Caenorhabditis elegans: one gene and its partner. The protein of the gene in region 2 purifies or fractionates together with the protein of the main gene of each other region. This does not show direct contact. Each region holds a gene or a part of one and is shown on either strand. Other genes may lie near its edges.

Region 1 (6,255 bases), on a different chromosome or scaffold from region 2:
AAATTTAGAGCACATTTATACAAAACATTGCGATTTTCTACGATTATTAAACACAATTCGTTTTTCACATACATCTTTTGCACAATAAATATGTAAGTTTTTGATCATTTTTGATCAGCAACAGCATACATAAGCCAAGTATCTCAGACAACCCCATTTTTCATCTAATTCGAAAATAGCCACATCTAATAAGAAATTAACCACATCTAATTAGAAAAGGATTTTCTAATTAGAAAGGATGCATATCTAATTAGAAAACACGCACACCACATCTAATTAGAAGGGATGCTCGTCGAATTAGAAACAATGCGCGTCGAATTAGAAAAAAAGCATGCCGAACTGGTGCGCGTTAGTTCATCCTATTTTTCTAATTAGATGAGAAATAGGGTTGTCTGAGTATTTTTAAAACAAATTTCACAAAACTCCCAAGAAATGTTTTCAAATAAAAATCATTTTGAGGGATATTGCCTGATCTAAATCATTTTTATTGGTTTAAAATGGTTTAAAAGTTAGCAAAAAAGAACTGGAAATTTCGCAAGCGCGCTCTAATGAGAGATTACTGTAATAATCTAAATGAAAATCAGTTTCTAGGTCGCTCTGTTGTATAAAATATATTTCTTCTTTGAATTTGAATATAACTTTTTTTTTTGTAATATTTTTTAAATTTTAAACCTTTGGTGTTCTGGACTCCCAATCCATATCAAAGCGAACTTCACTCGATGCCAACGTCAATGCTCCATTTCCAGTTCTTCTCGCATTCAAAACTTTCGACAATTTCATCAATCCACGTAATCCCAATGCCACGTCATTCTGCTCTTTTGGATCGTCAATAATCTCTTGTGCCTTCTCATAAGTCAATGCAGCTTTTGATTTAATTAGAGATTTGTGATATTTAACTGATTGTATATCAGCACTAGAAGTCATTGTCCAAATACACGAAAATGCATAACGCTCTTCTTCTCCGCGAAGTGAGCACAAATTGGAACTGAGCAGACATGGAAGCATATCGATACGACGATCACAAAGGTATACTGTAGTTCCACGTAATGCTGCTTCATCGTCGATTGCGGTTCCTAAACGTAGGAAATTTTGGTTCTTTTTTTGAAAATAAATGAGGTTTTATTCGAACCTCAAAGGACAAACATTTTTTTTAGTAAAACTTGAATTTTTAAATAATTTCAGTATATTTACCTGGTCTAACAAAATGCGTGACATCTGCAATATGAACTCCAACTTCGAAAAGATCCTCTCCAATTTGTTTACAGTGTAATGCGTCGTCAATATCTGTACATCCAAGTGGATCAACTGAACAAATTGTTAAATCTCTCAAATCAACACGTGGTAGAGGGCCGCGGTTTTCAGTGAGATCTGGTTCCCATTCTTCACGTGGTAGACAATCAAGAACAGATTCTGAGAATGGAGCATGTGGAATATCATGTTCGAGAAGGAGAACCTCATTTTCAGTTTCACGGGATCCCATCTCTCCGATTGATCTGAAAACAACAGTCATTCCGTTAAAATATTTCAAGATTTTCTGAAATTTCACATACCTGACGTAATGTCCAAGTGGATACTTGGAATCTCTTGGCCAGTGATCAATAGCCACCACAATTCTCTGCTGTGATAAAGTTTCAGCCTGTTCCGTCTCGATTCGAATTCTTGGAATAAGTCGTTCAGCTGGACAGAACAAGTGTCTTCTGGCTCCTTTCACTGTACTTGGCAGCAACATTCCACAATATTCACGCCAATTTCTTTTGATAATTCCAACAACTTTTGCAGTTGAAACAGTCATTTTCTTCGACTTTTTAGCTTTTGGCTCATCGTTCTCGTCATCATTCTCCTCGTCTTCATTTCCCATGTCATCTGCAGTTTTAACATATTCTTCAACGTCACGGAGTCGAATTTTCTTCTCTGGAGCAGTCCATTGGTCTTCTGGCAAAAGTTGAACTGCGACGGTATCTCCATTGACGGCACGATTGCAATTATTTCCTAAAATTCGAAATAAAAATTTTATTATTCAGAGAATTGGAATTTTTGGAAAAATTTCACCTTTTTTAAAAATATAATTTCAGAGTTGTTTCGCTCAAAATGACCGAAAACCACCTAATTTCGTTATAAAAAAGTTTTTTTAAAATTCTCAGCAAAAAGTAATGACTTGTGTGAAAAATTTGGTTGGTTTTCGAAAATAAATATTTCAACTAAATTCAAGCACCTGTGATGAACCAAGATGTTAACTGATCATCAATAATAACAGTAGCTTCGCGATAATTTTCTCTTGAAACACTGAAATTTCCTCTTTTGATCGTTCCACTGGCAATTCCCTCCATAATTCTATCATGCGATAGATATTCATCGAAAATTTGTTTCTCATTTCCATTTCCAGAGCTTTCATACGCAGCCATTTGATCCAAAAGTGCTTGTTTTCCTGGATCCTCCAAATTTTGTATGTATTCCTGAAAATTTGGAGATTTTTTCTTTTTCTACGGGGTTACTGGATCATTTTTCAAACTTTATTGTACTTTATTATACAATTTTTGATTAAGGATCATGATTTTTAGTTGAATAAAAGTTTAGTTACGGCGAAAATATGTTAAAGAGGTGTATATTTTAGGGTTTTTGGCTGAAATAGTCTGAAACTAGCTCGGAACGACAGAATTTCATTATGAGTCTTAAGAAATCAAAAATTTTCTTTTAACAAAATTTGGCTCTTTTTCGAAATTTCGCCAGTTTCAGAAAAGATCCACAGAGTTTTGAACTTTTCGACTATTAACCTTTAAATACATCACGTGTTGGTAGTGATTTTCCATTCTTTTTTTCGAATCTTCATCAAAAACTAAGACAACAGGAGCCACGTTATGCTTCTGCCAATGAGTTTTCAAGTAAAGAGCTGTTGAAAGTAGAAGCTCTTCGCCACGACTCAAATCCTCAAATTTCGATGATTCGGAGAAGGTCTCGCAGTGAAATTCGTTCATGAACACGTGAAATCTGTCTTTCGCATCTTCATAACACAAAGAATTCATTTTCTTGTAGGCTGGTACAGCTTTTGCTTTGACTCCTTCCCATACAGTCTGGGTTACGATGAGATCTCTGAAAATTAAATATAATTTATTATTTTACAGAGTTTTTAATTGAAACTAGATGTTTGTTACAATCCCGACAACTTCTAAAAACTGAATTTGGAGCAACAAATTAAGAATTTAATAATTGGACAGTAGAACCATCTACATTTAAATGATTCCGCTGTAATTTTAATTCATTACCTCAATAAAGACGAATCAAACAAATCGTAGAATCTGATTAATGATGTGGAATCCACAATCAGCGCGTGCCTTCCAACTTTCGCATTTCTTACGGGATTTTCAATTTTTAACAGCGGATTTGTGCCGAAATCCTTGCAGGTTCCACATTGAGCAAGTCCACATGAAAGATCATTTCGTAGATATCTTTCTTCGGCTCTCTGCAAAATTTTAATTGGGTTAGGTGATTTCGGAGAGGTTTTCTCACTTTATAGACTTTCCCCGAGCGATTTTGGAAGTAAGTCGTGTGCAAAGCGACGGAATGAATTCCACTTTGTTTGACGTTCAAATCCATACCTTCAAATAATGAAAATACGTGTGAAAAACAAATAAAATCGCACGAATCAGGTGAAAAATGAAGGAAAAACTATTTTATTCGAAGAAAAACTCAGTGTACATTTACGGTGAACAACACGCGCGAGTGGAACATCGGAGTGTCGTAGGCACTACGAAAACGAACACTTCGAACAACACTGCCATCGCAGCTGCGAGGAAAAATGAAATGAAAAGGAAGAATATATCTAAATAGAGTATGGCTAAAATCATGAAAACGGAAGTTTAAACATCTAAAATAGATAATCGGGTAGGAAACATGATTATCTAGGGCCTCATAACCTTAAAAAATAATGCTCAAAACGTTTTTAGATTTTTGAAAATTTTTCAGTCATAGATTTGGTAAATTGCCAAACTTTTTTGTCTTACAAAATTTAATGCGGATGAAACTAAATAATCGCCACTTTTTGATTTTTTTTCATGTATGTAGACACAGCACTGTCCTCAAGGATGAAATCTGACCAGACTTTAAAATGTTAAATTTGTCAAGATGCAAAATATTTATTGTTTTAATGTTAATTTTTGGAAGCAATAAGAACAATAAAAACATTAAGCGAAATATAGAATCTCATTATTGAAAAAAAACGGGTAAGAACATGATAATGAAATACATATCTCGATGGACTTCCATAAGATGTTTAAGAATCGGTTACTGTAGAATTTGGAGTTGAAGAATTGGTTCTACCCAGATAAATTGAAATGTCTTCAGATCCATTAAACTTTGTATGTGATCTTGATCTTCTTCGTTCCCGTATTCTAAAATTAAAATACCTCCAATTTGGATATTTTTCTTCATTATATAATTTTTATCGAAAATTCGAAAATTTACTAAACCCAGCATAGAATTCAATACCAAGGCTTTCATCTAGAGAAAATTTGAATTCGGAATTTCAAATAGAAAAATACATAGCAGAGCTGAGACATTATATACCAGGGATCTTTCCTTTTTCGAAAATTCGAAAATTTACTCGAACCAATCAATAAAGTATTTTTCTCTCATATCAGCAAAAAAAGTTGTGATCGGTTCACTTGTTAATTTCTTTGATTTGTAAGAAAAATACACCCTCCTCGACCTTTACGGAGCAAAACAGCTTTCAGGTTTTGGAGAGATGGGCTGGGTTAGTAGTATGGTTGGGTAGTCTTCTGAACTGAATGACTACTGGAAGATTAAGGTAGGATTACTATAGTTCCAAACGATTTACAATAAATCCCGGATGCTTATGTTAAGGGCATCGATGGAACACAAAACTTGTTCGCTTGAGTATTAATATATATTCAATTTGCAGATTAAAACAGAAAAACAGAACATATACTTGAAAAAAGTTTATTGTTAAGAAACCCAGTTCACACATCCTATGGATTGTACTCGATTGGAAGGTTCTTGCGACGAACCATACCGTCTCCCTGGAACCATTCACGACGGAATTGCTTGGCAGCTCCATCCGGGGTGTTGGTCCACTCAACAGTGATACGGTCGTTGTTGGTATCCTCTTGTCCGAAGGCGAAAGCATCGCAGGAAACAGCAAGAAGCACAGCTTCCTTTGGATCGAGAACTCCACATGGTGGATCAACTCCAAGTCTCTTCATATTGGTGGTCTTGATACCATATCCAATACGACGAGCCGATGAGTTGATCACCTTGATGTGATAGGTGTGCTTGTCATCGTATGGAGCATTAAAGACGATCTTCGCGTTTGGTTGGGTTTGGATGTCTCCTGGTGGGACGGATTGGGCCATGGTCGTTCGATGAAGGAGTTATGAAAACTCTATGAAGATTATGGCAAAATATTCTCAATTTATAGCAACCTTCTTATCACTGTCCCAGATCTATAGACTACAAAACGTGGAAAAGGGTAATGAGATTTCACGGGGAAATTTAAAGTTTATTCGGGAAAATTCCCGATGATATTATTCATTACTTCATTCTCTCGTCTTGTTTCAAAAATGGATAATCACGACGATAAGTCAAAATCAGATCGTTTCTGTGATATAAATGTGAGTTTATTCAATTATAACATTCAGTTAGAACCAGTTCAAGTCTAGAAGCTTAATAAAAATTTTTTAATAAAAATTTTGATATTTTATAGAACAACATGACTACTCAATTTGATAGGCTATCAATAAATTCAGACGCTTCTTTGGTAATAGTGAGTTGAACTTGAATTTTTTATTTGAATAGCACTAACAAATTTTCCAGACTTCGTCGAGACTGGCTATGCAAGGAGCCGATGAGACCTCTGATTGGACACCAAATAAATATTCCTGGTTTAAGCTCGTTACCCCAAACCCGGTGGAAACACGTGTAGTTCAACAAAAAGCACAAATGAAAGGGTAAGTGAGCAAAACCGACATTCAGATCATCTCTAAGACTTCCAAAAATAACATTTCAGACTAAAAATCCATAAAATGGTGCACAACTTTATTCCGTCAAGGAAACAAGGATATCTTGGATACTACAACTTCGACGTCAAAAGCTATGAGGAGTCTGAGAAGGCCAGGAATTTATTCCCAACAGACTTTGTTGATGCCTTCTGTTGTCAACATCTTCTTGGAAAGAACGAGCAAGAATTTGTCTTCCATGCGGTTAACGAAAATGATCTGAAGATTCTCTGTTGCATTGCAACAT
Region 2 (6,401 bases):
TTTTGGAGAAAACCGTATACTACTCTTCTCGGCGAGTTTGGTAGTGTCTGGGGACCTGTTTGTAAAATCTGAGCTTCCAACAAAAAAAATCCCAATTTGAAAATTTGAATCAATTTCAGTCGTCGTTAATAATCTTCAAAGGCGACTTGAATTACCGTAAGCTTGTTGGTGATCGGGACTGGGATCTCGATACTTCGTTCAAAACCGCCTGTCGTGGATTTGCACCGTGTCCATTTATGGCGTTGCGTACTCTTAAAGCTGAAACTGTTGCCGGATTGAGTGAGGAGTCCATCGCTATTTTATTAGAGGTTCGTACTTTTTTTTTTTGATAAAAAAGTTATTATAAATCGAAAAAAAAAACTATAAAAATAAGACATCAAAAAGAATTCGGTCCTTGCTAATTTTTTTGTCGCAAAATCGGATAAGTTACTTCAAAATTTAGAGAATTTAAATAAGGTTAACAAAAAGCCTGTTTTCAGAAATTCGAAGAAGACAACACGTGGATGACTTCAGGAGAGTATGCCGTATGTCAACTTGGCGGGATCTAATCACCTTTTCTTCAAATATTCAACAAAAAACCCCATTAAATCGCATTTTCCTCCCAGCACACCGTCGTCTCCGGCTGTTCCCTTTTTTTCTGTTTTCTTCTAAATTAGTTTTTTTATCACTCATATCATATTGCTCCTACTGCAACTAATTTCATCTTTAGGCTTTTTCATGCACGTAGACTTTACTCAGCAACTATTCTGTCCCAATTCTTGTTTTTGACTTTTTTGAAGGTAGAGTAGCGAAGTTTTTTTGTTATTTTTAAATATATTACAAAAAAGGTCCCGAATTTCGAGAAACAAGCGAAAATTTAGCTTTAAAAAAATTAAAAATTCAAATCTGAAATTGTTCGCAATCGTTAAGAAATTCTGTCATTTTTTCTAATATTTTTTTAGAAATTAAAAAGAACTTCCCAAAATACAATTCCCTGCACTTTTCTTCTGTGTGAATGATCGTCTAGATTTAGATTCCCCCCATTGCGCTCCTACCTCACAATCCACCCATCCAGAACTTCCCCCAATCATTTGTTGTATTTATTTTAGTATTAATAAACGCTTATATTTGTAAAAATGAATTTTTTTGTTCAAGTGAGAAAAAAAACGAGATAACGATAAGAGGTAACAATTCAAAAAAAAATCAACAAATTGAATAAATTCCATAAATTTAGAGCAAGAAAGAGTGTCCCGGTTTCCTCATTTCTTCATTTTTCAATCGTTTTGCCAGAGCTCCATACAATCCACCAACAGATTTCGCAGCCAATTCCAGCATTTCCTGAATCGATTCCATCTCCAAAAGTCCACCGCCAACTTGTTTCACACACGTTACATCATAATTTGGCTCGTTATTTTCAGAAGAGTCTGCAATCGCCGCCAATCCAACGAGCAATTGAGATCGAATGCAGCATTCTTCTTCGGGTGTGCAGTCGACAAGATTAGCAGTGCCAATTTTTGAGATTGTCAGCAGCAGTGGACATCTAAATACTTTTTTCATTTTAGAGGTGAAACACGACTAGTTTGAGGATTTTTTGTCTCAAAAAATTTGTCCCAATCAACGAATTTACGCGAGGTAAATAACCAAAATATGGATTAAAGGGTGATAATATCAGAAAAATCAAATTCCATCGGCTGTGACAAAGAAGATTGGGCAAAATTTCAGATTATAGCAAACTTTGCCTCTTTTTTCGAAATTTTGACCCGCCATTATAAATTGTCGTACATTTTTTGTGAAGTCTCATTATGAAATTCGCTGGTTTTGAACCAGTTTTAGTCTATTTAAGTAAAACACCCACAAACTCTACTCCCCCTTTAAGAAAAAAAAAACAAAATATTTTCCATTCAACATTTTTTGTCATATATCTCAAAAAAAAAAAATTTCAAGCCAATATATGGGCGGAGCCTGTACCTCATCACATCCAATTTCCACATTGCAACTTGCACATTCTCATCTCGAACATTTCCAGCAACTTTCGGCCGTTTCAACACAATTCTCACTTTTCCTCCATCATCTGGTGCAACGTCACCTTCTGGAAACTCTAAATCACTCAATGCTCCGATGATTGCAATAGAAATCGCATCGGAAACACTTCCGTCCCACTGAAGAACCGAAATGTCCACATTAATTTTCCAGCGATATCCGTCGGCCAGCTGAGTTTTCGCGAGATTCGGCATAATATCGAGTGCTTTTGAATAAGCCGCTTGAAATGCTGCCGATAGTTCCTCTGCGTATTCGTCGCCTCCTTTTCCTGAAAATAATTGAAATTTTTGGATTTTTAAGATTTTTAGAGCTTAATACCAGCGAATTGACTGCTCGCGTTGGCTGAGAAATCCACGTTGAAATTAATTGGTTGTTTTGGCTCTTTTTCTGTTTCAGCATCGTATGATTCTAGTTCGAGTTTGATTCCAGCCTGTATAAAATATTTTTTTAAAAACAAGTCTATATGACAGAAAATAGTTTCAATATATCAATAGCTTTTTAAAAATGTTCACTAATTTTGTAGAGAAATCCTTCATATCCAGTGGGGTGTTATTTGAAAAGTCTGACATATTACGGGAACACAAAATTCTGACGCGCAAAATATCTCGTAGCGAAACCTACAGTAATTCTTTAAAAGACTACTCGCTTGTGTCGATTTACGAGCTCAAATGGATTAAAATAATTTATCTATATATGTATCGATAAAGTATTGAAAATCACTTAAAATTAAGAAAATAAAGAGAACATCGCTCCCGCCATTCGAGAATAAATTAATTTTCAAAAAAATGGAGCCCGTAAATCGACACAAGCGCTACAGTAGTTTTCGGAGGCCCCACGAAAAGGGGAGCAGAACGAAAAGGGGATCTGCAAAAAGGGGATCTGCGAAAAGGGGAGATACGAAAAGGGGAGCAACGAAAAGGGGTGCTGGCACTGTGCCAAACGCTATTTTTCTCGAAGAAAACGATACAACGATGCTCCGATGTTACGCGTCGCGTGTTGTTAAGCGTATCTTCTAGAAGAAAATTTCAAAAATCAACGTGCGTTGCGTGAGAAAAATTGCGTTTTGTGCGTTTGGCACAGTGCCAGCTCCCCTTTTCGTATCTCCCCTTTTCGCAGATCCCCTTTTCGCAGATCCCCTTTTTGCAGATCCCCTTTTCGTTCTGCTCCCCTTTTCGTGGGGCCTCAGTTTTCGCTACGAGAAATTTTGCGCGGCAAATGTGCTGTGCAATACGCATTCTCAGAATTTTGTGTTTACGTAATAAAAGATTTTCGAAATTTTTGAATTTTTTTGTTTTTCGGGGAAAATCGAAAAATCTTTTTGAAAATATTCAAAAAATTACCATAAAATTCGATTTTTGTCTAATTTTGTTTATATTTTCTTTTAATGACCAAAATTTTAATAAACTTTGGTCATTTGTCTACTTTTTAGAAAATCTTTTAAAATATTTTTTCTCATAAACAAAATTAGACAAAAAATCAAATAATATGGTTTTTTTTAAATATTTTTCTCGACTTTTTCGATTTTCCAGAAGATTCAGGTATTACAATCCATTTTTTATATCTTAAAACAAAAATCTCACTACGTTTCGCTTCATTTAATTAATTTCGACAATATTTCCTCACCAAAACGTCGGTAGTCTGTCCTAATTGAACACGACAACTTCCATTCGTTCCCGACAGAACACCTCTCTCGAGAATAATCTGTCTGAAATCCTGACAACTTCGTCCATCATTCCGAATGTTCGCTTCGGCTCCAGTAATCAGAAATAACTTCTCGTCGTCGCTAAGATGGACTTCCATTAGGCTGAAGGAAGATATATTTTGAAAAATGATTTTGTGAAATGGAGATATTGAAAAGAAGCTTTGAAACTTGGAAATTGAATAAATCGATTTCTTTTCTAAAGAAAAACATTTTAATAAAAAAAAAACAAAGAAACAAAAATCTAGAGATGAAGATCCTAATTATGATTATTTCCGTCCTCCTGCTGGTGCACAATCGTACTTTCCTCGCACAATATTGGCTTTGACAGAAATCAAATCTCGTCGACGTCCTCCTTTTACCAGCACCTGTAAAAAAGTAAAAAAAAAACGTTTTTTTTCGCGAAAAGAGACTGTGTAACCTGTGAATGTTCCTGCAAATTGTGTCCGACATTCGGAATATACGCGCACACTTCTGCTCCAGTCGACAATCTCACAATTGCACACTTTCGATTTCCAGAGTTTGGCTTTTTGGGGTGACGAATCACGGCTGAAAATATCTAGTTTATTGATTAGTTCAAGAGAATTAAAAATGGAAACTTTTCAGCACAATTCCTTTGTAATGAGAATATCCACTGATTGCGCTCTTATCCTTACTGCGAGCACGTCGTTTTGGTGGGCCATTTCGGTAGTGAATAAACTGCAATTTTTAGTATTATTCTTCATGATTTAAGATTGAATTACCTGCAAGAAATTGTTTCTCCAAGCAGGAAAACTAGTTGAAAATTGCGATGATTGATGTGTGAAGAGTGTAGACGCGGTCGTTTTCGGAAGAAATGAGCTGATTGTACTGGAAAACCCGGCTAGAAATCCTCCAAGACGAGGTAACATCTACAAAATAGGAATTTAATAGAGATTTTTAAAGTTTCATGGCCTCCCGGAAACAAAAAGCTTAAAAGATAACCGTCTCGTCGTCTGCGCGTCTCTCATCTCTATCGCGTGACGGTGGCGCGCGTTTACCTCTTTTTTTCACTGAAATTCTTGCTAAAACCTTCAGACGTATCGGAAAGATGAAAAATGATAAAATATTGAACTGAAAGGAATAGTAATGTGGACAGCGTAATGTTATCTTCAATAAAACATAATTTAGAAATAGTAGTATTTTAAATGAACGAAAATCCAGAAAAATACCGAAATTTTGTTAATTTATTCTTCTTTCAGAAAAATAGGATAGTTTTTAATTACTTTTTGTTTTAATTACACTCATATAAGCGATTAAAAGAAACGCGACGTTAAACGGATTATCGGGTTTTTTCTTCTGAATTTTTTTGCCGTTCTTGCAAAACTCAATTTCCAAATACTGAATTTTCAGGGACAAAAGTAACCAGAAAAATTTAAAAAAAAACCGCATCCCAACATAAAAGCATAAATTTCTTATTACTATTTGTTTGAAGGACGGAGAAATTGATTTAAGACACAAAATGTTCGAAAATGGGGGAAACCAGTGAAAAAAGCGAAAAAGAAATTGCAGTCTATTTCAGAATGGAGACGGGAAAATGACAAGAATCAGGCTGGCCACACAACGGTTGGAAAATGAAAAGGGAGAATGAAACTAGAGGCTGTAAATATATATTTAAACAATAATAATACAATATATTTAGAAAATTTGAATTTAAATTTAAAATAAGAAAATTATTAAATTAGTATTACAAAATTACATAAGATTAGTTGTATTTATTAGTTCTCTTAATGCGTATTATTCACTGCTAATCTGCTCCACTGTACATCGAATGGATCAACTGGTTTTGCTGGTGGCTGGGAGATTTTCATTGGGTTTGGAGACGAGTTCCAGTTTATTCCAGCCGGCGAATTTCGAGTCTGAAATAGAAAAAAAAATTCAGTGTTTTTTTTCAAAATTCCAGCAACATACACTATTTGCTTGCTGTAACTGCTGTTGATAAATCGACGGGCTTCCATTCGAAACCGCTTGTCTCACTGGTAGTGGAGGAGGCGCATGGGCGGGTGGGGGTCCAGATTTCGGAAGAACAGAGTACGATGAAGTCGACGGTGGATCTGATGATGGTGACGTTGGTGACATACTCATCGACACTCTCAGCACATCATCCAGCCATTCGTCGGCTTTTGATCGAGTTGTTGGCGTATTTTCACCCGATGAGATGCTTATCAGTTTGATATCTGTAAAATTGCAAATTGGAGTTGAAAAAGTTTTTTTTTTTTTGAGATGTGACTGAAATTTCGATTTTTCTAAAACCGAAAAACTGCAAGGCCAAGCAGCATTTGGTTTTTTAAAGAAAACCGATTTTAAAAATTCAATTTTGCATTTTTTATCGGATTTTTAGTTTCAGCAGAAACTGACCTTCAAACTGCTTCTGAAGCTTATCCAATGGTCCGACTGTCGGTTTTTCTATAGTATTTTGAGGCCACGCGGCAACAAAATCTCCATTCGCATTATGTTGCTGCATTTGATGAACAGGCGCCGGAATCGACTTCCAGTTCAAATTGATTCCATCGAGACCATTGTTTGAAAGAGAGCCTGATGTTTTGGTGACGACGGGCGGTGTGATTCCGAGTCCCAGCGGATCCTCATCTCCTTCGTAGATTGGCTCATTGTAAAGTTGAGTGCCGAATGACTGAAATTTTTTTAAATAATTGTTTAATTTAAA

What was found. Proteins that work in one complex are often made in the same cells at the same time.
Region 1: the proteins of exos-7 (region 2) and dis-3 fractionate together in Caenorhabditis elegans (co-fractionation; one large-scale study listed by BioGRID). This does not show direct contact.

The regions. Positions count from the first base shown.
Region 1 is NC_003282.8:10,094,544-10,100,798, reverse strand, and holds the start of dis-3 (putative exosome complex exonuclease RRP44), read right to left. Parts: upstream 3,598-6,255; 5' UTR 3,592-3,597; coding exon 3,505-3,591; intron 3,458-3,504; coding exon 3,261-3,457; intron 3,088-3,260; coding exon 2,772-3,087; intron 2,454-2,771; coding exon 2,213-2,453; intron 1,990-2,212; coding exon 1,551-1,989; intron 1,494-1,550; coding exon 1,192-1,493; intron 1,074-1,191; coding exon 673-1,073; intron 1-672. Other genes in the region: msp-36 (Major sperm protein 10/36/56/76), read right to left, coding at 4,983-5,366; C04G2.5 (BTB domain-containing protein), read left to right, coding at 5,574-5,624, 5,717-5,776, 5,827-5,960, 6,020-6,255. UniProt on the Caenorhabditis elegans protein: Putative catalytic component of the RNA exosome complex which has 3'->5' exoribonuclease activity and participates in a multitude of cellular RNA processing and degradation events. Has both 3'-5' exonuclease and endonuclease activities.
Region 2 is NC_003283.11:20,836,287-20,842,687, reverse strand, and holds exos-7 (Ribosomal RNA-processing protein 42), read right to left. Parts: upstream 3,824-6,401; 5' UTR 3,820-3,823; coding exon 3,643-3,819; intron 2,450-3,642; coding exon 2,338-2,449; intron 2,288-2,337; coding exon 1,948-2,287; intron 1,520-1,947; coding exon 1,210-1,519; 3' UTR 1,106-1,209; downstream 1-1,105. Other genes in the region: F31D4.2 (Sugar phosphate phosphatase), read left to right, coding at 120-308, 480-548; mrps-12 (Small ribosomal subunit protein uS12m), read right to left, coding at 3,988-4,086, 4,140-4,267, 4,318-4,417, 4,462-4,608; num-1 (PID domain-containing protein), read right to left, coding at 5,464-5,595, 5,648-5,913, 6,095-6,368.